Ovis aries: one gene and its partners. The protein of the gene in region 5 purifies or fractionates together with the protein of the main gene of each other region. This does not show direct contact. Links are inferred from orthologs where the notes say so. Each region holds a gene or a part of one and is shown on either strand. Other genes may lie near its edges. The genes, in order: MAP3K5, ADNP, HIPK2, HSPB1, DAXX, BAZ1B and RNPS1.

Region 1 (3,500 bases), on a different chromosome or scaffold from region 5:
TCAAACCCAGGTCTCCTGCACTGCAGGCAGATTCTTTACTGTCTGAACCACCAGGGAAGAGTTACTTCTCAAATTTTCATAGTTTAAAGGGAAGTGAGTACCTTTCTTCTTTGCACTCATTGCCTATTGTATTACCGGTGTTGACCAACTTTTTTGATGAGGGGCTATGCAGGTGAACACCATATGTGAATGTGTTTGCCATTATGGTCATAGAAGGAAACAGAACAACATCTCTGAATCAGCCAGTTACGGGTGCAAGTTTTAAATTCTTGTCTGGAAGCCCACTTTCTAGAGCTTTGCTCCTCAACTTGGATGTCTGTGGATTTGGGAGCTTATTACATATGCAGAAACTCAGAGCTCCCTAACTAACCCTGCTCCCCAGCCATCTGCTGGATCAGAATCTGCATTTCAATAAAACCCCAGGATGTCTGTGTTCATTATAGCTTGAGAACCTTTGTCTAGAGGGTCATTTTGTGGCTGCTCCCACTTCATTATCCTGTCAACCAATATAATTTCCTCCTGCAGATTACTGGAAGAATTGGTTCAGAAAGAGAAAGAATTACAAGCACTCCTTCATCAAGCTATTGAAGAGAAAGACCAAGAAATTAAACACCTGAAGCTTAAGTCCCAACCAATAGGTGAATAGCAGAAAATTTTATTTATTTACTTATTTTTTAAAGCCAGAAAATTTTAAAGTAATAGTGTTCAGCCAAACTCCCACAGAAAACTAGAAAGCCAACAGGCAAACTTTATGTCATGGCTTATTCAGCATCTGTCACTTGTACCACAACTACGAGCAGAAATTGCTGTACAAAAATATCCAATTCTTAATTGTAGCAAACCATTATTTCTTATATGTACAGTAAAAATGATTCGTAATTATCTTTTCCTGAGATTATATACTATTGAGGTAAATAGGGATCTCCATTTTTTTGTCTTTATTTCTTTTTAAGGATTTCACAGTGAAATTACTAGAATAATATAATACTATTTTGGTCATTTTGCATTTGTATTCTGTGTATTCTAGTGTTTTATAATTTGACAAGGCTTAAGTAGAATAAAGATAAATAGCAAGTCATAAGTTGAATATACTTTAATAAAATGTTTTGTCAATTATATCTGTTTTTTTTTTTTAAGTCATAGATTGGAACTTTAAAGAAATCTATTCTGTGAGAAATTGGGGATGGAAGATAATCTTTAGGCAATCTTATTTAGCCCATTTAGAGGAAAATAAAAGTCATTATTTTTTGTTCAGATATAAGGTCCTTCCACATTATTGCAACTAGTGGAAAAAGAGATTATTATAATTATATGGTTCTCTGCTAATTATGCTCATCTTTGTTGTCTGAAAAATACACAGTATAATTTTGATGCACCATTTTATTCTGAGGCTATAAAATTGATACGAAACCACAAGGTGGAAGTATCATTAATTATTGTTAGTGACCCTCCATTTACTAGCATATTAAGCAGCCTCAAAGAGTTTGATTTATATTATCTTGTAGACTGCCGATCTCAGTGGTTTCTATTAATTATCCTGTGATGGAGAAAAGTCTGTTAAAGTATCAGTAAATGTTGACTATCAGATGACCTCTGAAGCTAAGAATGTCCCTCCTTATCCCCCAACCCCAATGCTGTCCTAGATATTCCTGGGTTGCCTGCGTGTCACTCCAGTTCTCCTGGCACAAACACTGAAGATTCTGAACTTACTGACTGGCTGAGAGAAAACGGAGCCGATGAAGACACTATAAGTCGGGTAAAGAAAACATTCCATGAGACAAACATTTTTTCACTAGTTTCCTAATGCTGAGTGCCTACTATGTGCCAGGCACGGGGGATACACTGCTGAGAAACTGACCCAGCCCTGCCTTCCTGAGGCTCATAGACTAGGGTAGGCAGACGATAATCAAAGAATTCCACATGTACAAATATAATTGGGTCCTCGTCAAGTCTGTAAAGGAAAGGTTATCAGGTATTAGGAGACAGAGGGAGGGAGAAGTTGGGGAAGGTTCTTTGAAAAGATGATTGGCAAGCTGGAGTCTAAAGGAATGCTTAGGAATAAACTGTATGTCTGTTCTGGGATGGGGGAAAGACAAAAAGGGAAAACCATTTGGGGTGGAGGACAGAAACAGTGAGGCAGAAAAAAGCTCTGTGGTCCAGAACCCGTAAGGATTTTTGTGCTGTTTCATTGAAAATAAAGAAGAGGAAAAATCAAGACAAGAACTAAAAGGAAAAAGTTCTTCCACTTCTCATTCTTTCTCTTGTTTTTTAACTCTTAAATTCTTATGTGACATTCTTAAATTCCACTGGGCAGCAGCTATTTATTGTTACTTAATGAAATAGACTAGTTACTGAACTTATATCAGAAACAAACACTTTCAATACAAATTATATTATATAGGGAACTTTTGTAGTTAGCATGAATAGATTTCTTTATGTTGTAAGATCACATATATGTGCAGTAAGAGGTTATATTTCTATTATTTTATAGAAATAATAAATAGTTTATATAAATAGGAAATATTTATTTTAATACTATTTATGTATTTAATATTATTTATTTTAATATTATGTTGATTTCAGTTTTATATTTAAATTTTTTAAATGACTAAGAAAACAGATGAATTTCTTTTGGCTTGATAATTTCTTAGATTGCTTAATAAAATTTAAGAGTCTCCTTAGAAATCTGCAAGCAAATTACAGAAATTAAAAGGAGTTTCTCATCTTTGGGAAAAATTTATCCAATCAAATTTTCCAAAATATTTTCCCCTCTAACTTAGACTCAAATAAAAATTAAGGAGTAGTCATTGATGACACACTAAATCACTGACCTTTTTGAAAGATTTAAAATAAAAAGCTTCATTTAAATTCAGGACTCTGAATTTGTACTAAGTATCGGAAAGTTTTCCAAAATGAAGTGTAAACAACACATTTTACCCACTGGGAAAAAATTAAGCTACAAAGCACTAAACCTTTTAAATACAAACATTATCTTATAAGCAGCAGATATAATTACAAGCAAGTCTTACCTGCTCATCAGAAGACCATTCAGAAGTACTGTGTCACTTGTCATCTTTCTGCTCCTAGAAGTCGTGTGGATGTAATTCTTTGTAATTATTTTGTAATAGGGGGAACCTTTTTCTAATAATTCCAAAAGATTCTGTCTTTAGTGAATTTCCTTTTAGATTTATTTTTCATTATTGCAATGTTTACATTATGGATAGTTTGCTACTTATGGAAGTGCAAAAGACATCTTACTTTTGTGTGTATTTTACTTTCTCCACAGTTTTTGGCTGAGGATTATTCATTAATGGATGTTCTCTACTATGTTACACGTGATGATTTAAAATGCCTGAGACTAAGGTACCACTTTTCTTTCTGTTCAGTCTCATCATGATGGAAAGAGCACTGGGCTGAGATCAAGAAGCCTGGGTCCCTTCCCAGATGATTGCTAACTAGCTCTAACTAGCTCTGCAGTCTTGAGTAGAGTGCTTGAGTTC
Region 2 (3,500 bases), on a different chromosome or scaffold from region 5:
CAAGGATGTTTATTTTAGTGATTAAAAAGGTAACAGACAAAGGCCAAACCGAATCAAAGAATTTGTAACAAGAGCCTTGAGAGAAAGCCTTCTTGATGCCATCCTTGGTCTTCCACAAGTCTCCTCAGTGGCCGTGCCGCCATCTCTGCTGAGGAAGCCACGGCATCAACTGGTACAAGATGTAATGGACACACAGGACTGGAAGGCGTAATAAAGCAAGTAAGTATTTACATTAAGCACAATACAGCAATTTATTTAGATGCTTAAAATGAATACAAAGGGAAATAAAGATCACAAAATTATACATACTACAACAGTGTGTCATATATTAGATGGTATAAATGAATACACCAGGGTGGTGTTTAACTAAAGATAAAACTAAATATCCAAAACGCAGCACTCATTGGCCTGCTGCTTCAACACAACACACTTCCATACAGATCTAAAAGGTGTCAAAGTTAGTAGCTGCAAAGTCAATTCTTCATGTGATTTTTAGCTTAAAAGATTTCAGAAAACATCTGAAATACCAGTTTTTGTTTCTGTCAGCGGTAATGTCAAGGATATTCAGAACAAGAAAAATTCTATAATACAAGAAGAGTCCAGATATATATCTTATGTGGCTGGCCTCTGTCGCGAGATTGTACAAGGTTATGTGCAAAAACTAAGTCTGTCCCGAAGTCCACACTAGCGCAGTTTCAGGCTTTTGCTAGGTCAACTAGATACAGCGCTTATTACACAGCAAGGGCAACACTAAAAAAAGAAACGCATCTATGATGGCTACACAATAACAATATCGTAAGCATCACTTGAATAGGTCTAAAAGACTGTACAAATATACATTTCAACTATTCAGAATGAATACATGAAAAAAATTGATTTCCCCAAAGTCCACTGTACACACTGGACTGGCAGCTTGTGTGTTGGCCCTACACTACCATTTTAATCAGGAGAACGCTTCTCAAGGACGTCCAACCAGACACTGTTTTACAGAGGGAAAGAAATATTGAGAAGGCAGGTAAGACAAACCTCTGCTTTTTCTCGTGTGCGTTCATGAGCCACCAGCTTATTGGTTTTTCACATTTAGTTACTGTGTCTGTCACAGAGCGTTCTAAAGCAAGATCAGCCAATCATGTGTCACAGACTTAGAAATAGCCACTGGGATTGGAGTGGCCACATGTCCCCACCGCCTGATGACCCCGCACTCAGAAGGCAGTACCAGTTAGAACACAGCTTTGCAGTCATAACTGACAGAACAGAGTTCCAGGCTGCAGCATTTGCCACCAATGCCACAGAAGCCGGCCCTTAAGCCTGCTGGCTGCTCAGTTTAACCCCCGTCAAGCTGCCGTGCATCGGGTCAGCCACCCCATCAGTCATGTTGTCAAACTGCTCCCCATCCTCACTGTCAATTGTGCTGTTCTGCCACTCAATCTGTGGGTTGGATAAGCGCTCATCATTTTCAGTTGCATTCTTCCACTGTGACTGGTCCTTGGACCAAAACCCTTCAACTTTTCCATAGGAACTATTCTTCCACTTCAACTGCTCTCTGTCACCTTGCACGGAAGCCTTTTTTTTGGCAGCTGGCTTACTGCTCCTCGCGTCTTCACTCTGGGAAGACTCATCGGACCAGGTTCCTGTTTTCATCTCACACGTGTTGTCCTCAAAGTCTGACACCTGTTGGGAACCGGGGCCACTCTCAGATGGAGAAGCACCATCTTTCCACTCAACAACATCATCTTGGTCAACCTCACTATCAGAGGCATCATGCATTAGTTTGGTTGGCTCCTCAGTCAAATGAATAGTTTCATATTTTGAACCATCCTCCTCTTTTTGGTCTAGCTTCTCAGTTTCTAAAGCATCTTCAGAAATTACCTTCGGTATGTGTTCCTCTGGGTTATCATTAGGGATTTTAGGCTCAACTTCAAAAACAGGGTCAAAAGGGCTATCACTCCCATTGGATTCTTCCTCCAAATTTTCAAAACTGTCTGAGGAACTGTCATCTTCCTTCCCAAGATTGAGCTTTTTGTCTGCTGTTTTACTAGCATTGACTCTGGAATCCTTCTCATCATGATTTTCAAATAGCCACTCAGCATCAAAATCCATCTCATGCTTAACTTTGTTTAACTCTTTCATGTTGAAGCCCAGTAACACACCAGGCTTGTACTTTTCACAGTCTCTGACACACTTCTTCCTCTTGTTACTAAAATGGGAAGCAATGTCACTCTTCCACAACCATAAGCTTGCCGCCAGCTTCTCAATTTCTCTCCTGGTGGGATAAGGTTGTTTGTTGAAATATTTTGTTAGGAAGCTTTTCCTGGCTTCATAGGAATCATCTTCATGACCCTTAGGGTCTAAAGCTAAAACAACAGGCTCCTCAGGCTTCTCTTCAAAGAAGCCGGGTGAATCGCTATCTTCATCTAACTTTCGCTTCTTCAGCAAGGGGAACTCCATTTGCTCGTAAGTGCGCTTCACAGGTGCCAGGCCGGGGGACTGGTTCAGCCGCGAAGGTGCATTTGTCTTGTCCTGGCCGTTCTGGGCCTTGCCCACGCCCCTGCAGTGGACCAGGTGCAGGGTGATGGTCGAGGCGGTCATGTTGCTGGTGTACACGCCGAGGCAGTGGATGCACTTGTAGGTGAGTTTCTTCTCCACCGGATGGACTGTCTGAATCACCTGGTGCCTCTCTCGTAAGTGATGTGCAAGTGCGTCGGATATGGGTCCTTTCAGGATTGAAAAGCAAAGAGGGCAAAGGGTTTTCCCAACATCTTTCTTATAGGGCACTGCAGCCTGAGGTGAGCTTTTAACAGGAATATCTGCCTTTTCCTGCACTTTTGGCTGTGGCTTTGGAGGGATGGGTGGGTTATTTTGGGCATGGTAAGCAACAGACTCGGCAGGAGCATCCCTCAGGTTATACGTGGTTACAAGGAGATGGATGTTAGTGTGACTACCCTGCTGCAATGTCAAATCAAAACTCAGAGTGGAATCTGTTTTAGGTCCCATCTCTTCGTCCACGTGTACCATCCGCATGTGAGCCGCCATCTTTTCCACGTCATTGAAGGTTGACCGGCAATAGGGACACGACAGACCATGAATTAGCATATGGTTGAGCAGAGTGTCTGTGGGCAAATAGCGATTACAGTAAAGGCATTTGCTAGTGAAATTGTGTATTTTCATAATGTAGTTGGCTACTGCTGGGACTTTCTCAGCTTTATGTTCTTTTTCGAAGTGCACGCTATATACATTTTCAGGAAAAAGCTCATTACAGATTGTACATATTTTCCACTTCTGGGTTGAGGAAGTATTGGGTGGTGGAGGGCCAGTGGCAGCTGCAGTTGGCTTGGAGCTGGACTGACCTAATACTCTGGATGCCTGTGACTGGGAGAGGGATGGAGACTTTAACTGGCCTGAAGAGAGAGGCGGGGCATTCGGAGACTGCAGTGAGTATCTTGCTGGTGCCTGGGTCCTCTGCTCTGACCCAAGACCGTAAGATCTTCCATTTCCACTTG
Region 3 (3,500 bases), on a different chromosome or scaffold from region 5:
CAAAAGGAAATGAGAGAGGCTGAATCCTGAGAATTGGGGGAACTTTTAGTGTCAGAACAGGGAGACCCTTCTTCTCCTGAACCGGAGAGATGGAGGAGAGGATGGAGGATGGGGACAAATTCAGGGATGTTTTGAAATGACGAGACTAGAGGTGGAAAGCAAGGCTGCTGGCCTCTGGCTGCTGGACAGTGTGGAAAGTGGGTTGTTGCTGAGAGAAAAGGTAGATGAGGTCAAAGGGAAAATGTTAAATAACCACCCACAGGCAATGCTAGGGGGTCAGAAAGACACACACACTAGGATCATTAAACACCAATGGTGCTTGAGAGAAGCCCCACTCTCTGTGTGCTTTTATAGGAAATGTTTCTTAACTACACTTTAGAAGATGGGCAGTGTTTATTTCTGCTTTTACCTGCAAGGATTTACCCTTCCTCATCACCCCGTTACTTTTCCTTAATTCATTGTCTATGAATTTTTGTTTGTGTCCAGCATCACCATGGTTACAAATTGCACAGCTATTCCATAGTTGTGGTCTTCTAGATTACTGAGGTTTCTTAAATTGTGGGTGAGGTTTTGATATGAAATAATAGTACTTTCTAGATAAATTGATTGATACATGACTTTAGCAGGAAAAGTGAGTGAATAGAGCCCATGAATTATGCTACCCTTTACCCTAGCCAACTCCCCCCCCCCCAAAAAAAAAATGTTGATAAAATGATTTCAGACTATCTCAGTAAAAACGTCAGACCAACTGCTGGTCAGTTCAGCCCTACAGAATGGTTTAAGGTGAGTAAGAAACCAGGGGGTAATTATGGTTCTTCCGGAAGCTAGCAGATCATGGGTGGCCCTGTGATTGGACCTGTGTGGGAAGCTTTTTCCTCAAATGAGCAAGCCTGACACTTGCAGGGCCTGTGTATGGGCAGGGAGTACCCAACCACGTGAGACAGCTAAGTATACAGTAGGTAACCGGGCCACCTGAGGCAGCCTTCAGGTTTAACTGGGTTGCCACCCGATGAGAACTGAGGAAGAATTTGTTTCTATTGCAGACAATGCTTATTAGGAAAAAAACCCAACATAACAAGCTAAATTCTGGAATTCTAATTCCATCTCCGACACTTGGCCGTACTCCCACCCTTCGAGTCTTCTACCGGAACTCCCCGGGCCCACAGGCTTAGTGGCCAGATTGTGCTTCCGGGTGGAACAGAGTCGATTTTCCAACCTTTTTTTAAAATTTATTAATTTTTTAGCTGCGCTGGGTCTTCATCGCTGTATGCGGGCTTTCTGAAGTTGTGACAAGCGGGGGCTCCTCTCTAGTTGCGGTGTGCGGGCTTCTCGTTGCGGCGGCGTCTCTGGATGTGGAGCACGGGCTCTAGGACGTGCAAGCTTCTGTAGCTGTGACACGCGGGGTTAGTCGCTCTGCGGCATGTGGGATCTTCCCCAACCAGGGATCGATCAGGCGTCCCCCTGTCGTGCAAGGTAGATTCTTCACCCCCCAGACCACCAGGGAAGCCCCTTTGCCCTTGTTTTGAAGTGGAAAGACAGTATTCTCGAGGACCCACACCGCCGATCAGAACCCAAGGGGCCATGTCACGTTCATTCACGCAAGGGCGACTAACATCTCTCTCTCTCCTCCCGCAGGTATGGCCTCACATGTGCAAGTTTTCTCCCCTCACACCCTTCAATCAAGTGCCTTCTGTAGCGTGAAGAAACTGAAAGTAGAGCCGAGTTCCAACTGGGACATGACCGGGTACGGCTCCCACAGCAAAGTGTACGGCCCGAGCAAGAACGCACCACCGTCCCAGCCAGCCGCCGCGACCGTCAGCGCCTCCCTGCCCATCCCCAACCCCAGCCTCCCGTACGAGCAGACCATCATCTTCCCAGGAAGCACCGGGCACATCGTCGTGACCTCAGCCAGCAGCACTTCCGTCTCCGGGCCCGTCCTCGGCGGACCGCACAACCTCATGCGTCGCAGCACTGTGAGCCTTCTTGACACCTACCAAAAATGTGGACTCAAGCGGAAGAGTGAGGAGATCGAGAACACGAGCAGCGTGCAGATCATCGAAGAGCACCCGCCCATGATTCAGAACAATGCGAGCGGGGCCACCGTAGCCACTGCCACCACCTCGACTGCCACCTCCAAAAACAGCGGCTCCAACAGCGAGGGGGATTACCAGCTGGTCCAGCATGAGGTGCTGTGCTCCATGACCAACACGTACGAGGTCTTAGAGTTCCTGGGCCGAGGGACGTTCGGGCAAGTGGTCAAGTGCTGGAAACGGGGCACCAATGAGATTGTGGCCATCAAGATCCTGAAGAACCACCCGTCGTACGCCCGCCAAGGTCAGATCGAGGTGAGCATCCTGGCCCGCCTGAGCACGGAGAGCGCCGACGACTACAACTTCGTCCGTGCCTACGAGTGCTTCCAGCACAAGAACCACACGTGCTTGGTGTTCGAGATGCTGGAGCAGAACCTCTATGACTTTCTGAAGCAGAACAAGTTCAGCCCGTTGCCCCTCAAGTACATTCGCCCGGTCCTCCAGCAGGTCGCCACCGCCCTGATGAAACTGAAAAGTCTAGGTCTTATCCATGCCGACCTCAAACCGGAGAACATCATGTTGGTAGATCCATCCAGACAGCCATACAGGGTGAAGGTCATTGACTTCGGTTCTGCCAGTCACGTGTCCAAGGCTGTGTGCTCCACCTACCTACAGTCTAGATATTACAGGTAAGGCCGTGTGCCCTGAGATAAGAGATGCTGAATGTCCAGCAGCATTCACAGAGCGTGTGCCGTGTTGGTCTCTGCCAGGGAGATAAAATTGCTGCTCTCGGTGGTCATGATTTAGTCGGGAAATTAGGACATGTGCACTTGGAAACGATGATTAGAAGTCACGTGAAATCAGAGCCAAGTAAGATTCTTGGCGTAGATGTTCAGAGTTGGGAGGGATTCCTGGCAGGGTGGGGCTGGGGCTAAGAGCAAAGGCATGGCAGGGGAGTCAGGTCGTCATGGACGGACAGAATCCAGATGCAGGTAAAGGAGAGAGAGGGGCACACATGATGAAGTCGCTCCAGCAAAATGCCCAGAAAGACTCACAGCAGACTGGAGGACTGCCCACCTGGCCAGAACAGAGGATCCGTGGTGGGTGGAAGAGCTGACCACAAGGATAAGCTGGCACCGGGATGCTGGGGTCTTAGCGACCAGACTAAGGGGTTGCAGTTGCATCTGTAAACATGGAGTAAGCACCAATGCATTTGTGCAACAGAGGGTAGTGGGATGAAAGTGATGCTCTGAGAAGGTGGTCCGATGTCCCTGTAGGAGGAGGAGGCCAGGGGGTGGGTCTGTAGCCTGGGGACCAGGCCGCCTGCTCTGGTGATGGGAGAACTCCAGGTTTGGGGTCAGGAAGATGGATTGTAACACCGTTGGCTGGAAAATGTGAAACTTCCATTCCTTCACTCAACAAAGATTTATTTCACTTCTGTCATGAGCTAGGCGCAGCGCTGGGGATGGG
Region 4 (3,406 bases), on a different chromosome or scaffold from region 5:
CTGCTCATCACTCTCTGCGGGGCACTCTCAGACCTGAGGACCCAGGTCCCGTGCTGCCTACATGGGCTGGGCTGGGGGAATCGCCCCTCAGAAAGCCGCCAGGGGTGGCCACACCTCCCCTCCAATCTACCTGGTCCAAACCCTCTACGATGAAGTCAGGAATCTGAGCTCCCAGGAAGCCCTCTCCCCCAGCCCTGCCCTGTCTTCCCTCACCTGCCCCCTTGCCCAGGTGGTTCCTGAGTGCCCAAGCCTGGGTCAAGTGCCTCTCATAATTTCCCCTGCTCCCCCTCCAGCCCTGGGCGTTTTAACTCCGGTGAACAATCACTGCTTCTCTCTTAATGAACAAGGGGTACAGGAGGGCAGGGCTGTGCCCAGTGACAGATGATACTGCACCCACAGGACCCAGCCTGGGGCTTGGTGCCCAGCGGGCCCTCAGCAAACATCAAACCAGCACCAACCCTTCTTCCTTCACAAAACCAGCAGGGTCTGAGGCAGTGGCGGGCAGTGGCTTCAAACTTTATTTGAGAAAAACAGAAGGCAAACGTATCAAAAGAACATAGAGGTTTGGCGGGTGAGGATGGTCAGTGATGGCTACTTGTGGGGTGGGCCGCTGGGCAAAGGGCCTTTACTTGTTTGCCGGCTGTTCGGACTTTCCGGCTTCGGGGCCGCCAAGCTGGGCACGCGCCTGGAAGGTGACGGGAATGGTGATCTCGGCAGACTGGGTAGCTGACTTGGGCAACGGGGCCTCCACGGTGAGTGTGCCCTCAGGGGACAGAGAGGAGGAGACCAGGGTGGGATCCACACCGGGGGGCAGCCTGGACGGGCAAAGAGGGTGGACAAGAGTTACACACCAGGGCGTCCCCGCGCGCCCCTCTCCCGCCCGCCGCCCCCCAGATCCGGAGCCAGGACTCACGTGTATTTGCGAGTGAAGCAACGGGAAATGTAGCCGTGCTCGTCCTGCCTTTCCTCGTGTTTGCCTGGGAGGAGGGGGAGGGGAAGTAGGTCAGAGGAGGCGGGGAGGGGCGGCCTAGCCGCTGGCTCGCAGCCCAGCGCGCCCCACCTGCGGGCCAGGACTCCGGGCTGGCAAGACTGACGGAGGGATCTGGGTGCCCGAGACTGTCCCGGGAACTCAGAAGCTTTGGGGAACTCAGAAGCTTTTGGAAAGTTCGGGTTCAGGGGCTTGGCGAGTGGGGGGTGGGGGTGGAAGCGCGGCTCGGGGCAGGCGCACACGCCCCCTCCGCGGACCCGGGCTGGGAGCAGGGACCGTGACGTGGGGGGCATGGGGGGCAGGGCGGCGAGGGCGACGCCCTCTTCATACCGACTGCGGGCCCGGGTGGGTGGGGCGTGGCGGGGGGGCCTGGTCCCTTGGGGGCCAGGTCCTCAGGTCCGAGGGCTGGGGTTGAGGGGAGTCTCCGCTGGAAGGGGGCGTTGCTTTCCTTAGTGGAGACTTTTTAGGGCTAAAAGATCCCTTAGGAACTCCAGCAAACCCCAACTCCAGAGAATACAGACCAGGGCTAGGGCGAAGAGGCCGGGCCCCGCTCTGGGGGCTCCCCGCCTTCCCCCCCACCGCCCGTCCTCGGCTAAGTTTTCACTTTCCAGCGGCCCCCTCTCCCGGCTCCCCGCCCATGTTTCAACCCAGAGCTCTTCCCCGGGACCCGCGAGAGGCGAGGGGCCGGCGTCCCTGGGGCGGGGGCCAGGGGGTGCTTACCAGTGATCTCCACCACGCCGTCCTTGGTCTTGACCGTCAGCTCCTCGGGGGCGAAGTGGTTGACGTCCAGGGACACGCGCCAGCGGTCGGCGGTCTGCTGGATCTCGGAGACCCCGCTGCTGAGCTGTCGGCTGAGCGCGCGGCTGTAGGCGGGACCCTCGATCGCTGCGGCGGGCAGCGGGCGCACGTAGCCCGGCCATCCGCTGTGGCTCAGCCACTGCGACCACTCCTCGGGCAGCCGGGGCAGCCCGAAGGCCTGGTCGAAGAGGCGGCTGTGGGCCGGATACCAGTCGCGGAAAGGGTCCCAGCTGGGGCCCCTTAGGAGCGAGAAGGGCACTCGGCGCTCGGCCATGCTGGCTAGTCTGGGTGCGTCCGGAGTAGGCTCGGAGAAGCGGGAGAAGTGGCGGGCGCCGGACCCCGTAGCGCTTTTATGGGTCTCCAGCCGGGTATTTTTAGCAGGCGGTGTTTCAGGTCTCTATTAATGGCAATGACGGGCCAGGGGGCAGCCCCTCCCCCTGCATTCCCCTCCACTGCATACCGGGGCGCGGGGCGGGGCGAGGAAGGCCCTGCCCACATCTGGAACCTTCTCTTGTTCGAGAAAACAAATGACTAGAGCCTCGATGTCGGAGCACTGCCCACTGCTGGACGCTCGGAGGCCTGGGTGCTAAAGCGCTGGGCCTCTATCTGTGGACAGTCGGGGAGGACAAAGCCGAGAGGGAGAGAGAGAAAGAGAGAAAGAGGTCGAGCAGTGAGTCCCAAGGGGAGAGAGAGAGGTCGAGCAGTGAGTCCCAGGGCGCACAACTAGGAACTGGCAGAGCGAGCCAGGATTTGGAAGGCAGTGTGTCTGTGATATAATGCCTTAAGAAGCAGCGTGGTTAGGGCGGTCTCGGGAGGTAGACCGCCTGAGTTCACATGCAGGTTCTGCCACTCACTGGATGAACTTGTGCAAGTTCAGAGTCTTTTGCCTCAGTTTCCCCATCGGGAAAATGGGATGATGGTGGTGATGATAATGCTTTCATCGCTAGGTTGGTTTGAAGATTCAGCCTCAATGCAAGTAAACATTTTAGTCCAGGGTACACGATAATGAATATATTATCTATATTTATATATAGATAATATATATAGATAATATATTATCTATAATTATTATTAGCCCCTGAAGTTGAAGGAGGGGGCAAGAAGGAAAGCATGTATGTGTCCCTGTTGCAGAGGCAATGGTATGTGTAGGTTTGGCCATTTGCCCACTGAACCCCAGTGGAGTAGACTCAGATCACAAACCTTGAGGGCCAGTACTGAGAAGGGGTCAGGAAGAAGGTTATGGTCAAGTCTCCCCATTATATCTAGTTTTCTGGAGGAGCCCTAGACAGGGGAACTTGAAATGCAGCAACCTTGAATCTAGTCAGGGCTTTGCTGTTTGTGTGATTTGGGCCAATGCTCCTTTCCCTGTTGGCAGGTTATTACCTCGATCCTGTTCTGTTGAATATTCCCGCAGACGGAGAGGGGGCAATTCCTTCAAACTTGCTTGGAGCCTGAGGCCGGCCCCTCCTCCGATCTGACCGCCTGTGAGATCCACGCCCCCACTACCCGCTCTGGGAAAAGATGCTGCCCCTAGCTTCCTGCCATAATCCTAACAATCTCTCTCTCCTGCCTTCCTTCTCCTGACATGTGTCCTGTATCCCTCCTTTTTCAATGAGGAAA
Region 5 (4,070 bases):
GCAATGGAAGCACAGAGTCTTAACCACTGGATGACCAGGGAAGTCCCCTATCACGCTTTCTTACACATACATATCATAATTGAGATGAAAAATATTATTCTTTCTTGTGACCATAAAACTCTAGGTTTTTAGAAATATTTCTTCTGGGTTATCATTACAATTATTATGAGAGCAGAAGTGATAAAATAGCATAAAGATTGTACACATTTTCATAACTTAAAAGTACATGTAAAATGAGATAGACGAGATGGTGTTTATGATGCCTTAAAAGAAATAGGCTACATGTCATTTTTTTAAATTAGAGGATAATTACATTGCAATATTGTTACATTTCTATTTAAGACAAGGTAAGGGAAATCCCTGATGGTCCATCAGTTAGGACTTGGTGCTTTCATTGCTTGCGCTGGGGGCCAGTTCCATCCCTGGTTGGGAAACTAAGATCCCTGCAAGATTCAGGGCGTGGCCCAAAACAAACAAAAAACAACCAAGGTAAAACAAGGTAAAGTTATCCCTAGATTTCATGGTTAAGAACTATACCTTTTTTCTTTTTTTCCTTTTTAAATAGAGAGGGAGAAAGTCTATTGTAAAAGAGAAAAGGAAGGAGAAGCTCTAGTGCAAGCATTTATTCAGGAAAACAAATTTTGGGAAAACTGAGACTCTGGAAATTAATCCTTTATATGTCCCAAATCCAAGTATCCTTAGGCGAGTCTCCGTGTTCCCCAATTTAAGACTACAGGCTTAGACGACTGGAGAGAAGTGGTGTAGGATTCTTTAATGGGAGTGAGGGTTTGAGGGTTTGGAACTCCTGAGGGCTTGGGGATGTAAGAGACTGTGGTCCTAGAAAGTGGCAAGATGCTCACCCTCTGTGGAATTCTCCAGGATGCGGGAAACTGAGAGATTGGAACCATGTTAACCTTTCCGGTTTCCTCAGAAGTTCACCTCTGGGCCCAGCTTTGCCTCTTCGAGCCCCTCCAGTTTCCGTAAAGTTGGTTTAGGGTGAGGGTGTGGGCGAGGCGGGCGCCAATGTTGGTTTCTTCTCTCTTCCTTCGTCAGCTCTCCCAGAGGAAGAGGAGGAGACGAGACTCAAGGTATTTTACGAGCCTCGAGCCTCGTTTCTTCTCACAGCTCTTACAGATTCTGCTCAGAGCCCCCTCCCCACATTGCCTGTCCTCAGGCCCTAGAGGTCCTGGACAAAGCACAGCCTCCTTGTCATCAGCGCCTGCGCCTCGGGAACCCCCTCCAGAAAACGGCGGAGAACCAACTAGGTCCCACCTACTTGGTTGGTCATTACTTCTGTGGTGGAGCTTGGAAAGCACGCCAACAATCGCAATAATAAGAACACATTTGTATAGCGTGTTGTGCTCGTTTGTATGCGTGTGTTACGACTTCATGATTGGGAGATGTAGGCACCTGGATGTAGAAGTAGCTTCTGGGCAGCTGCAAGGGAGCGCGCAGACCACAGAAAGAAATGACAGGTACAGTCGACTGAGCCGCGGAAACCGGGACCTGGCAGGTAGGAAAGTAGCGCCACAAGGCTTGTCAAAAGCCCAGCGGCTAGGAAAGGTTTCATTTCCCTTTTAAGACACTCCTGCCTTTCCGTGCCTCCCTGTTCAGCCTTGGAGGGCCCAATTCCTCACCCCGCGCTGTTCCGTTATTTCCTCCCCCGACCCGGCCCCCCGCCCCCCCACGTAGAAAGGTGGATCAGTCCTCCCCGCACGCGACTAGCGGTGGTTGGGCCGGGATGCGGGAAGTTTCTGATTGGCGGAGTCGCGGAAGCACCGGGTGAAAAGAGCTCCACTGACGGCGGGCCCCGCTCCCGGCGCAGCCAGAGCCGTACGCCAAGATGGCGGCCCCCAGGTATTCAGGACGCCCGGAGGCGACAAATCCGCCCCCTGCAGGTCAGGGTGAAAGGAGCCGCAGACGAGGTGGGCGGCAGGGGAGGCTCTAGGAGGGGCGGCCCTCCCTCCCTGCCTGCCTGCCTGCCTGCCGGCGGCACAGGATTCCGTGCGACAATATGGCCGCGCCCAGAGCGTGTGGGCGGAAGCTCCGCGGCTTCCGGTAAGAAGTGGGGCCTGCGGTGGGAGGGGGAAGGAAGACGGAGGGAACCATGCGAGGTTCTGAGATCCGCGGAGAGGGTCGCCTCGAGAGACCGTTTCTGAGGTGGGGGCCGGACGGTGTGGGGAGCGAAGGCGGGGGCAGGACTGTCGAGGGAGAGGTACTGGGGAGTCCCCGGCGCGGAGTCTGAGGGGCAGGCTGTGGGATCCTCCTTCCTATCCCTGAAGGGGAGTGGGGCGGCCAGGGGCTGAACTGGGGGAGGGGGACTTGGCGGGAAGCTCATTTAGGGGAAGGACTGGACTCAGGGCTGGGATCTGAGAGAAATCGGGAGAGCCCAGCGTGGAGCTCACGATTGGTTACAGGTCACTGAGAGAGAATGGGGGAAATTAGGGTGGGGTGAGAAGGAGGGGACTTGGGGTGAAATATCTTCAACCTAGCGCTTCGGTTTGAGGAGACCCATCAGAGGGTGGAATATAGAGATAATTTAAGTAGGAGAAAAGGGAATGGATTGTTGGGAGGGAACCTCCTTCTCAAGGGGTCTCCGAGTTGGGGTTATCTTTCAGAATGGGGTGAGAGTATAGATTTGATATGTGTGAGAGAGAGCGAACAGGGAAAACGGTGGTGCCAGCGGGGCTGTGGTGTCTGTTCGAGAGAATGTCAAGGAAATCTGTAGTGCAGCGAGAGAGGTCGTCCAGGGGTTGAGAGGAAGACTCAACTTGGCAACTCTGAGAAATAGTGGGGAAAACGAGACTGAAAGACCGGATACATGCGTGGGGGGTGGAGCTGGAGGTGGGACTTCAGGTTTTCAGAAGGTTTGGAACTCCCCTAGTAAAGGGCCGGAAAAACGTACAGTACTAATGCTTGCTGAAGCTAGGAAATGAGGACACTGTTGGGCATGGCTGGGTGCTTTTGAAACCCAAGACTGGAAAACGTGTGAGATGAAGGGATGGGGCGGTGCTGGAGGGGCTCTGTCTGAGGCCCCATCCCCTTCCAGCAGGAATTACGAAATCCCCAACACTTCCTCCCTCCGGGGGATTTGATCCCCTATGGCTACCGCTAACAGCATCATCGTGCTGGATGATGATGATGAAGATGAAGCAGCTGCTCAGCCAGGGCCCTCCCACCCACCCCCTAATCCGGCCTCACCCAGGGCAGAAGCCCCTGGCTCCTCTCAGCCCCATGGGGCTGGAGGAAGCAGTAGTTCGGGCGGCAAGAAATGCTACAAGTTGGAGAATGAGAAGCTGTTTGAAGAGGTGAGCTTTAGGGGAGAAGACTGTCGTGCCCCAGGGAGGGGGATGGCTGCTTGGCTCTGTCCTTTCTCCCCCACTAACCCCACCTCACCTTTCTCTCAACCCTATCCTTTTGTCTTTTTCTCCTCCCTTTTCCCCCGTGAACCTTCCAGTTCCTTGCACTGTGTAAGACGCAGACGGCGGACCACCCTGAGGTGGTCCCGTTCCTCTATAACCGGCAGCAGCGGGCCCACCCTCTGTTTTTGGCCTCGGCGGAGTTCTGCAACATCCTGTCTCGGGTCCTCTCTCGGGCCCAGAACCGGCCAGCTAAGCTCTATGTCTACATTAACGAGCTCTGCACGGTTCTCAAGGCCCACTCAGCCAAGAAGAAGCTGAACCTGGCCCCTGCTGCCACCACCTCTAGTGAACCCTCTGGGAATAACCCTCCCACAGACCCCTCCTCGGACCCAAATGCTGAGACCACTGGCTCTGAGGCCCCAAGGACCCGTGGTTCCCGGCGGCAGATCCAGCGCTTGGAGCAGCTGCTGGCACTGTATGTGGCAGAGATCCGGCGGCTGCAAGAAAAGGAGTTGGATCTCTCAGAATTGGATGACCCAGACTCCACTTACCTGCAGGAAGCAAGGTTGAAGCGTAAGCTGATCCGTCTCTTTGGGCGGCTGTGTGAGCTGAAAGACTGCTCTTCACTGACAGGCCGGGTCATAGAGCAGCGCATCCCCTACCGTGGTACCCGTTACCCAGAGGTCAACAGGCGCATTGAGCGGCTCA
Region 6 (4,020 bases), on a different chromosome or scaffold from region 5:
AATACTTTGGCCCTCTGATGGGAAGAGCTAATTCATTGGAAAAGACCCTAATGCTGGGAAAGATTAAGGGCAGGAGGAGAAGGGGGTGACAGAGGATGAGATGATTAGGTAGCAGCACCGATTCAATAGACATGAATCTGAGCAAACTCCGGAAGATAGTGAAGGACAGGGGAGCCTGGTGTGCTGCAGTCCAGGGGGTCACAGAGTCTGATAAAACTTAGCGATTGAACAATAAACAAAAAACAATTTAATAGGGATGAATGGTTAATAAGTGTGTTTCTGACTGTACTGGATGGGCAAACAGATTTTGAGTGACTGCAGTCTACTTAGGGAAGTAGCTCAAACATTCTCACTCTCCAGGCACGGTTGTTTTTCTACAGCACCCTATGTATAGCGTTCATCACATAGAACAGTGATTATCTCTTATTTTTTTCAAAGCAGTAGTCTCTGTCTTATTTTCTTCCCCTGTTGCACCCCACGTAGGGCCCTGAACATTTTAGGTGCTAAAAGAGACTATATGAGTGAATGAATTTATCTTTAATAGACATGCCCTTTAATCTATTTTTCCAACGAAGCTTCTATATTACCCTTTCCAGCAAACTCCTAGAAGCAAGCATTATACTATTACCCCACTCTAGTCTAGAAGTTAACTTTAGGGGGACCCAACCTGAACCTCAAGTTACCTCAACAGAACCTATGCCGATGAAGTCTCCGGGTTACTTCCCGCCAACCCCTCCTTCCGTGAGCCCCACCCGCGCATCTCCGGGCGTGGCCGAGCGCGGTGCCTTTAAGAAGGAGGCGGAGCCCTAGTGGAAAGACAAAGCCCCTGGCCGCGCGCTCCCCCTCCCCCCTCCGGCGCTCCACACGGACAGTGGTGCCCGGATGTCGGTGTCGCCTTCAGTGACAGATGGCGCAGATCAGTACATGTTAGAGGGCTTTTCTGGCCTGACCTCTCTGAATTCCCGGCCTTTCCGTCCCCCATTTTTCCCCACTTTCAACTCCGCCGCCGGAGGCCCGCGCGTCTGTCACTGGCGCTTACATAACGTGACCTTTCACCTCTTCATACTGCCCTCTAGTGAGCTGCAACCCAACTAGGCGGTCCGGGAAGGGGGCGGGACCCAACCGCAGAGCGGCAGCTCCTCTGAGCCAATAGGTTCTGGGTGCTGACCAGTTCTCCGCCTATTGGAGAATTCGCCACCGGCGCCACAGGGGAGCAAGTTAGTGTGCGCGCTGGCCGGGCGGGGGGGTGGAGGGGAATCTCCCGCCATTTTTCAATAATTTCCTCCGGTGCAGCTGAGGAGGAGTCGTGACTGCCGAACGTGGGGACCCGTAGCGAAGGTTGGCTGGAGGCTTCGGGACGGCGCGGAAGTGTGTGAGAGAGTTCTGTGCCCGTGGGTCCCGTTCCATGGCTCTAGCGCGGCGGCGCCAGCAGTGAGGGAGCCGAGTTCGCGCCGCCCTCTCACCCCTCCCCTCCCCCACCCCACCCCCGGGAGCCAGGCGCTCGCTCCGGGCCGCGGGGCCTAGTGTTGCGCCGCGGGTCCACCGAGGAGCCTCCGCCTTCCCCGCTGCCGCCGCCGCGATGGCGCCGCTCCTGGGCCGCAAGCCCTTCCCCCTGGTGAAGCCGCTTCCCGGCGAAGAGCCGCTCTTCACGATCGCGCACACTCAGGAGGCCTTCCGCACCCGGGAGTATCCTTTTCCAGCAGCGCCGGCCAGGCCGCCCGCGGGGTGGGGTGGGGCGAGGTGGGCCATGCAGCCCCGCGCCGGTGGCAGCTGTCAGCCAGCCCGGCGCCGGCGGGCCTGCACCCGGAGCCCGAGCCCCGGGCCCGCAGATCCGGGAGTGGGGGGTGGGGGGTAGGGGGTGCGCGGGCGGGCCGGCCAGCCGGCCGGGCTCAGGCCGCCTCCGAGCCTTGAGCCCTCCATCCTTCCCCTGGCTCCGCACTTTGTCCCCGGGCCTCGTTATGGAGGAGCGACCCTCCATCCCACTCCCAGCGGGGGTTGGCGTTAGGCCCTAAGTACCGGGGATGAATGGGGTTTCCTTTGCTGCTGCTTTTTTCTTTTAAAATTAAACCTTCCACTTAAGTTTTGGAAATCGTACTTGCGCGGCCTCGTGATCCGGGTTGTACAAGGCGCGATTGCGTTCTCCCCCACCCCCCTTCCCCCATCCCGATCTCTGCGGGAGCATTTGTGTTTTGCTCCTTCCGAGCGCACTGGAGGCTGATGAACTGACGGGATCAAAATCAAGAATGAATTTCCAGACTCAGAGGAAAGACAGTAAAAAAGTTACCTTGGAGGAGCCGATGCCTTCTATCCCTGGACTTGCACAGATTTGGAATTCTGACGGTGTAGAATATCGGTATTTATCTTTAAACAGCGTTTTTCAAAGACACGCTTACAGTTTTAATGTTGTATTGTAGGTACACGAGGCTGATGTTTTAAATGAGAGGCATCCTAATCATTGCTTAAGGTTTCTTGCTGTCAAGCTTATTGTCAACTCTCTTAGCTAAACTTGTACCACTCTTACTTTTTTTATGGATGCCAGATGCATCTTTTTTGAATCTTAACCGTAAAAAAGGTTTTCGAATGTAGCATTTTTTAGTGTAGAGAAAGCTTCAAGAGTGAAGGCTACTGTGTTAGCTTTATCACCGCTTTCCCTTTGAAAGGACTTGATTTCTCAGCAGTGTCTGTTTGCTCCCATGTAGAAGGAAGTGCGAGTGTGAGCCATATCATTTGATTATATTTCTCATTGATCCTCCCTTTAATGTAGTGCTTTATGGGGTTGTTTCAGTGCAGTTTGAGGATATTAGGTGTTCACGCAGGAAGGGCCTTGGAAAATGAGTCCATGCTGTAGGAAGACTCTGGAAGAAATGCAGCCAGAGTATCTCAGAGCGGAACTAGATCCTGGAGATGGTGGGGTTCCCCTGCCTGGGTATGCCTGGTAGGCCCAGACAGTTGAGATCACAGGCTTGTAAATGGAAGAGTCAGGAGAATCCAGTGCTCTTGGTACCTCATGCCTGAAAGTAGATCACAAAAGGAACATGGAATGCAGTTCCTTCGCTTTTAATGATGTGAATCCACTGTTTGTTCCAGCTGGTAGCGCAAGATGTTTACGTGTGTGCGCTCCGGCTCTTTGCGACTCCATGGACTATAGCCTGCCTGGCTCCTCTGTCCCTGGGATTTCCCGAGCCAGAATATTGGAGTGGGTTGCCATTTCCCACCCAGGGTTCGAACTCCCATCTCTTGGTGTCTTCTGCATTGGTGATTGTGCTCTTTACCACCGAGCCACCTGGGAAGCCTGTGGTATAAGTTAGGGTGTGTTTAAGGGAGAGGTTGAAGTGGTAATCTGGTTCTTGTCCTATTAGGGCTTTGGGAGGATCGTTCTGGAGAAGCGCTCCAGCTCTCCCAAACACAGCATTATTCTAAAAGTGCCGTATTTTTTTTTAAAATAACATTCCAAAACATCAGTGAAGTAAAAAATTACTTGTGGAAATATACTGTATCCTTTTCACATGGCTTTTGAGCAGTTGACGGTTATCACACGAATATTACTGGATGTTGATTTTCACGTCTGGTCCTAGTGAAGTATAAGAAACTGCAATAGGGAGGAGACACATTCTGAGTCTCTAACAGGAACTGAGCTCTGTTTTTTAAAAAATGGCTGTAGATAGCTAACTTAGAACTGGCAGCCTGGGTTTTTTCGTATCATTTACTGAAATTGTTGAAATATAATGGTATATATGAAGCATTTCTTTTAATGATGACAGTTGAACACTAATGCGTGTAACTTTTAAAGTGTTGTGTATTTAATAAAAATTCTTCATCTTTAAAATCTCCCCTACCAGTTTTTAGAACTCTTAACAAAGGAGTTCTTAAATTGTGTTAACCTGCTGGGAGAGAAATTGCTCCCTTGGGAATTTCTACAAGTGGAATCACTTTGAGGATGGTTTTTAAACTATTGTACTGTGTGGTTGGCAGGTTGGCATATTTTTTTATTAGGCTATTAGTAATTTCATAGAGGAGAAC
Region 7 (4,198 bases), on a different chromosome or scaffold from region 5:
CCAAGCTACACTGGTTCCTTCCCCCACGAGGGCCTTGAATCTGTTCCTTTCTCTTCCTTGTGGGACCTACCTGTTCACATGCCCATCAAGAGTGGGAGCGCACCTTCTCTCCCCCCATTGCTGCTGCTGCTAAGTCGCTTCAGTCATGTGCGATTCTGTGCAGCCCCATAGACGGCAGCCCACCAGGCTCCCCCGTCCCTGGGATTCTCCAGGCAAGAACACTGGAGTGGGTTGCCATTTCCTTCTCCAATGCATGAAAGAGAAAAGTGAAAGTGAAGTCGCTCAGTCGTGTCTGACTCTTAGCGACCCCATGGACTGCGGCCCACCAGGCTCCTCCGTCCATGGGATTTTCCAGGCAAGAGTACTGGAGTGGGGTGCCATTGCCTTCTCCGCTCCCCCTACTAACAGTCACGAAACGTTGACTGCCTGCCAGGCGCTGCTCGGAGAGGGGAGGGACACAGCGGTAAACACATCCGCAAGCCCTGGCCCCCTCAGCGCCGGGTTTTACTCCGACAGCCTCCTGCCTGGTCCTGGGCCTCTAACTCTCAGCTTCCTGCCTTTGCCAGAAGGCTCTGACAGTGCAGGATGAAGCCTTGGCGCCGTATGTTGCACAGGTTCTCTGTTCCTCCAAACGCTAGACTCCACCTTCCTAGCCCCGGTTTCTTCCAAGGAGCCTTCGCACCATTTGTTCCTTCTGCCGGACATGCCCTTCTACTGCAGGCCTCAGCGGCAGGGTCAGCGCCTCGGAGGCGCGTTCCCTTCTGCACACTGTCTTCCACCCTGCCTTCTGCAGCCCGCTCGTTCTGGCTGCACTACCCGCTGCCTTGTCCTCCTGGTACAATTCCGCCGGCACAGAATCTGCGCCTGCAGCATCACCCCTCACGCCATGAGCGGTAACTGCACGAACCCATCCCCGCAACTGCCCTGCTCGCGAAGCCACCACCGCCCTACGGGTGCCCACGGCAAGCCGCCAGAGCGTGCAGCACCTGTGCACCCTTTCTCCAACCCCGCCGCCGGGCCGCCCGGGACCCTCCACGTAGCAGCCGGGTCGGGAGCCCAGCGACCTGGGACGCCACCAGGCCCGCAGCCCGCCCGGTGCGCATGCGCACGGAGAGGGGCGGGCCCGCGGCCGCCTTAACCCTCTCCGCGCCAGCCAGCAAACTGCTCTCACGAAGTAGCCCTCGCAGCCCCAGAGAGCTGCCAGCTTGATGGCCCCACGAGGCGTGCAGCCCGCCCGGGGGAGCCCCGGTCGACCCTCCAGAGTAAGCGCCCCGACGCGTCTCTTCCTAAACAGGCCTTGGCCCTTTAACACTCTCGCTCGCGCCCATTGGCCGAGGGGCTCGACGTCATCGCTGCGCGCCGGACGACCGCTCCTTCCCGCTCCCTAATCCTGACGCCAGAGCCGCGCCGCCCTCTGAGGCTGAGAAGAGCGGGAGGAGGTCGCGGCGGCGGGAAGATGTAAGTACCGGGAATCCGACCCCATCCGAGCTTTGGGACCCGCCCGCCATGTTCGGCGGGGCGCATCGTGGAGCCGGCCTGCTCCTTGGCCACGTGGTGGTGACGGTGGGGCCTGTGGCGTCGCTCCGGGTTTGAGAAGAAAGAATGTGGCCCGGGGCGGGCTGAGTGGGAGGCGCCGAAGCTGCGGCCCGGAAGTGGTCGGGGCCGCGGCGGGCGGAAGGGCGCCCTCGTTTCCTCGGCTCTGCAGCGGGACCAGTGAGGCCCGCGGGATTCGGAGCGGCCGGGAACTCGGCCTCCGCCGTCCGGGCCCTCTCACCGGGCTGGAAACCCAGGCCCGCAACGCCGGGCCCTGCCCTGGAAGCGCCCGCGGCCCGGCTCCTGGACTGGGGAGTTGTGAGTGAACGCGGACGCGGGGTGCTGAGGTCGCGTGCGGGGCCGGGGCCGGGGCCGGTGGGTACGAGATGCGTTTTGGGAGCCCCTGGGTGACCGACTGACCCTCCCTTTGAAGCCATTAATTTCAAACATCGACTCCACGAACGTCTGCGGGGTTCCTGTGTGTCGTTCCCGGTGCTAGCCCTTGGGGATACGGCCCCTAATGTCTTGGAGCCCAGTTTGACGGTAACCCCAAAAGAGAGGATACGGAAAGGTTAAATCGACGGAGCAGAGGCGTGGCCTTTTCCAATCTCTCATGAATTGTGCCTGAAATGTACTTGTAAATGGAGAAGGTGCTCCGAAGATGTGAGCTGAAACGCCATGTACGCGAGATATGACTAATTGTTCTCTCCTATTTTTGGCTGTTGGACGCGCACCTTTCCAGAGGATGGGGGAGGTAACCACGGTCCTGTTACCTGCACTTGTGTAAACATAATCAACCTTTGCTTTCTAGCCCTCTGGCCACACCCAGAAAAGCCTTCCTTTACTCTGGTCTTAATTGAGTTTTAAGAATAAACGCTGGTGCTTGTTTTCACAAACTACAAAGAGCAGATCTTTAGGACTGGGGTGGGGCCCTGGAATATGTATTCTAGGTCAGCTGTGTAATAAGGTAGCCTCTGGCCACACGTGGCTACTGAGTACTTGAAATGTACCTAGTTCAAATTGATGTGTTTAACACGCTTAGCATGGGGAAGCATGGATATTTTATTAATGATTTTGTATGCTGATTGGTGAAAAGATGATGTGTGGGGTGTAGTGTGTCAGATAAATACATTACTCAAAGTTAACTTCATCTGTTAACTAATGCTTTTTTGGAACGTTGCTCCAAGAAAATTTTAGAGTACTCTTGTAGCTGGCTCTCTTTCTATTGGACAGTGCTACTCTTGGTGATCGTAATGGGGGCAGTCCAGGGACCCCTGCTGATCATTCAGAGGCTGTGTGACTTAAGAGCCAAGAGTTTGCCTCAGAAAAGCCTCCAAAGCCTTTCTCCTAATATTAGCTAACATCTGTTGAGCCTTAACTAGGTCCCCAAGACTCTTTTATCGGTTACTTTTGTTTATATTCTTGACAGCTATGAAGTGTAGGAACTGTCTGTCTCTCCTTAATGCTGATGAGAAATTGAGGCTCGGAATGATTAAGGGATTGATACAAAGACACAACAAAGCTTTGAATCAGACCCCAAGCAGGGGAACTTCAGACTCGTAAGCACTGAATTATACTCACTATTTGTCCAAGCAAGCCCGCTACAATGTTGCTTAGTGTTACAGGCACCTTACTGAGTGTCTGTGGTGCCTTTTTTCTTTTTTAATTTTGGCTTATTTTTGTGTGTATGCCCTCTCATTTTAAGACATAATGTCTAAAAAGACTTTATAGCCCTGGAAAAGAACAGTGCACTCTTATTTGTTTGTCCACAGCTGGGCACTCTTTCTTGAGTCAGAAATTTATCCAGCATTTTGGCAGCACTGCGCACATGGAAACAGGATTCCGATTGGTGAGCTGTGTCCAGGTTACTTACAGGAAGGTGAGATAGGAGTAGTTGAGGCTAACATCCCGAGATCTTTGCTTCTACAACTCAAGCAAATTGCGCAAAACCTCACTGGAAATACTTAAAGGCAACAGCCCCAGGAAACAGAGCACATAATGAATTAATAGTTTGTTCTTGAGTAGTGTTTACTGATGACCTTTTACTGAGTACATGCTGCAGCTCTGGAACTTAGCTAAACCCTTACATGTGAATGCATCCATTTCCAAAAATGGGAGCATACAGAAAAGCTGAAAAAATTTAGTGCACCAAATAGTCACAGAACCACCACCTAGATTCTACAGGTTACATTTCTGTTATGTTTTGTCTCACTTTACTACTTTTTAAATGTTCATGGGGGACGTTTCATTTGTTTGGTTATTAAATGTTTTGATACTGGTACCAGTCACTTGAAATGGTTTTTGCTTCCAGTCATAATATCTATCCAATGTATCCTGCAAAGATTCCAGCAGTGAAGCGAGGTCGAATCCTGTCACTTAGGGTTTGCTCTGCCTGCCAATGTGCTCCTGTAGTGTCTCTAAAGGACTGTAGAGGGCTTACCGCAAAACTGGTGAGAAACGGGCATTGTACTACCTGTCAAAGAACAGGACCCCACCACCCACACCATTGCTTAAGAAAAAGACAAGCTGAGCCGACAGTTCTTCACGTGTCTCCTGTGGGGGCAGGATCCCCTGAGGAAATGGACCCTGCCCAAGTGTTCCTGGCTTGGTAGATGCACACTGCTGACTGTGTTCCTTGTTGCCTGCTCCTATGCTCAGCTTTTGA

What was found.
Region 1: the proteins of DAXX (region 5) and MAP3K5 purify together in Homo sapiens (affinity purification with western blotting; 7 studies listed by BioGRID and IntAct, with this or other methods). This does not show direct contact. The link is inferred for Ovis aries from reciprocal best matches to the Homo sapiens genes DAXX and MAP3K5.
Region 2: the proteins of DAXX (region 5) and ADNP purify together in Homo sapiens (affinity purification with mass spectrometry; 4 studies listed by BioGRID and IntAct, with this or other methods). This does not show direct contact. The link is inferred for Ovis aries from reciprocal best matches to the Homo sapiens genes DAXX and ADNP.
Region 3: the proteins of DAXX (region 5) and HIPK2 purify together in Homo sapiens (affinity purification with western blotting; 3 studies listed by BioGRID). This does not show direct contact. The link is inferred for Ovis aries from reciprocal best matches to the Homo sapiens genes DAXX and HIPK2.
Region 4: the proteins of DAXX (region 5) and HSPB1 purify together in Homo sapiens (affinity purification with western blotting; 3 studies listed by BioGRID and IntAct, with this or other methods). This does not show direct contact. The link is inferred for Ovis aries from reciprocal best matches to the Homo sapiens genes DAXX and HSPB1.
Region 6: the proteins of DAXX (region 5) and BAZ1B purify together in Homo sapiens (co-immunoprecipitation; 3 studies listed by BioGRID and IntAct, with this or other methods). This does not show direct contact. The link is inferred for Ovis aries from reciprocal best matches to the Homo sapiens genes DAXX and BAZ1B.
Region 7: the proteins of DAXX (region 5) and RNPS1 purify together in Homo sapiens (co-immunoprecipitation; 3 studies listed by BioGRID and IntAct, with this or other methods). This does not show direct contact. The link is inferred for Ovis aries from reciprocal best matches to the Homo sapiens genes DAXX and RNPS1.

What each region holds. Positions count from the first base shown.
Region 1 is NC_056061.1:61,837,324-61,840,823, reverse strand, and holds part of MAP3K5 (mitogen-activated protein kinase kinase kinase 5), read left to right. Parts: intron 1-525; coding exon 526-638; intron 639-1,643; coding exon 1,644-1,756; intron 1,757-3,286; coding exon 3,287-3,363; intron 3,364-3,500. UniProt on the Homo sapiens protein: Serine/threonine kinase which acts as an essential component of the MAP kinase signal transduction pathway. Plays an important role in the cascades of cellular responses evoked by changes in the environment.
Region 2 is NC_056066.1:78,821,179-78,824,678, forward strand, and holds the end of ADNP (activity-dependent neuroprotector homeobox protein), read right to left. Parts: coding exon 1,303-3,500; 3' UTR 227-1,302; downstream 1-226.
Region 3 is NC_056057.1:104,612,432-104,615,931, reverse strand, and holds part of HIPK2 (homeodomain-interacting protein kinase 2), read left to right. Parts: intron 1-1,635; coding exon 1,636-2,719; intron 2,720-3,500.
Region 4 is NC_056077.1:34,787,788-34,791,193, reverse strand, and holds HSPB1 (heat shock protein beta-1), read right to left. Parts: upstream 2,111-3,406; 5' UTR 2,061-2,110; coding exon 1,709-2,060; intron 978-1,708; coding exon 914-977; intron 816-913; coding exon 626-815; 3' UTR 501-625; downstream 1-500. UniProt on the Homo sapiens protein: Small heat shock protein which functions as a molecular chaperone probably maintaining denatured proteins in a folding-competent state. Plays a role in stress resistance and actin organization.
Region 5 is NC_056073.1:7,643,072-7,647,141, reverse strand, and holds the start of DAXX (death domain-associated protein 6), read left to right. Parts: upstream 1-1,270; 5' UTR 1,271-1,513; intron 1,514-1,743; exon of another isoform or gene 1,744-2,058; intron 2,059-2,089; exon of another isoform or gene 2,090-2,215; intron 2,216-3,049; exon of another isoform or gene 3,050-3,052; 5' UTR 3,053-3,101; coding exon 3,102-3,308; intron 3,309-3,457; coding exon 3,458-4,070. UniProt on the Homo sapiens protein: Transcription corepressor known to repress transcriptional potential of several sumoylated transcription factors. Down-regulates basal and activated transcription.
Region 6 is NC_056077.1:34,135,574-34,139,593, forward strand, and holds the start of BAZ1B (tyrosine-protein kinase BAZ1B), read left to right. Parts: upstream 1-1,220; 5' UTR 1,221-1,579; coding exon 1,580-1,686; intron 1,687-1,751; exon of another isoform or gene 1,752-2,353; intron 2,354-4,020. UniProt on the Homo sapiens protein: Atypical tyrosine-protein kinase that plays a central role in chromatin remodeling and acts as a transcription regulator. Involved in DNA damage response by phosphorylating 'Tyr-142' of histone H2AX (H2AXY142ph).
Region 7 is NC_056077.1:2,304,638-2,308,835, reverse strand, and holds the start of RNPS1 (RNA-binding protein with serine-rich domain 1), read left to right. Parts: upstream 1-1,398; 5' UTR 1,399-1,456; coding exon of another isoform or gene 1,457-1,458; exon of another isoform or gene 1,459-1,851; intron 1,852-4,198. UniProt on the Homo sapiens protein: Part of pre- and post-splicing multiprotein mRNP complexes. Auxiliary component of the splicing-dependent multiprotein exon junction complex (EJC) deposited at splice junction on mRNAs.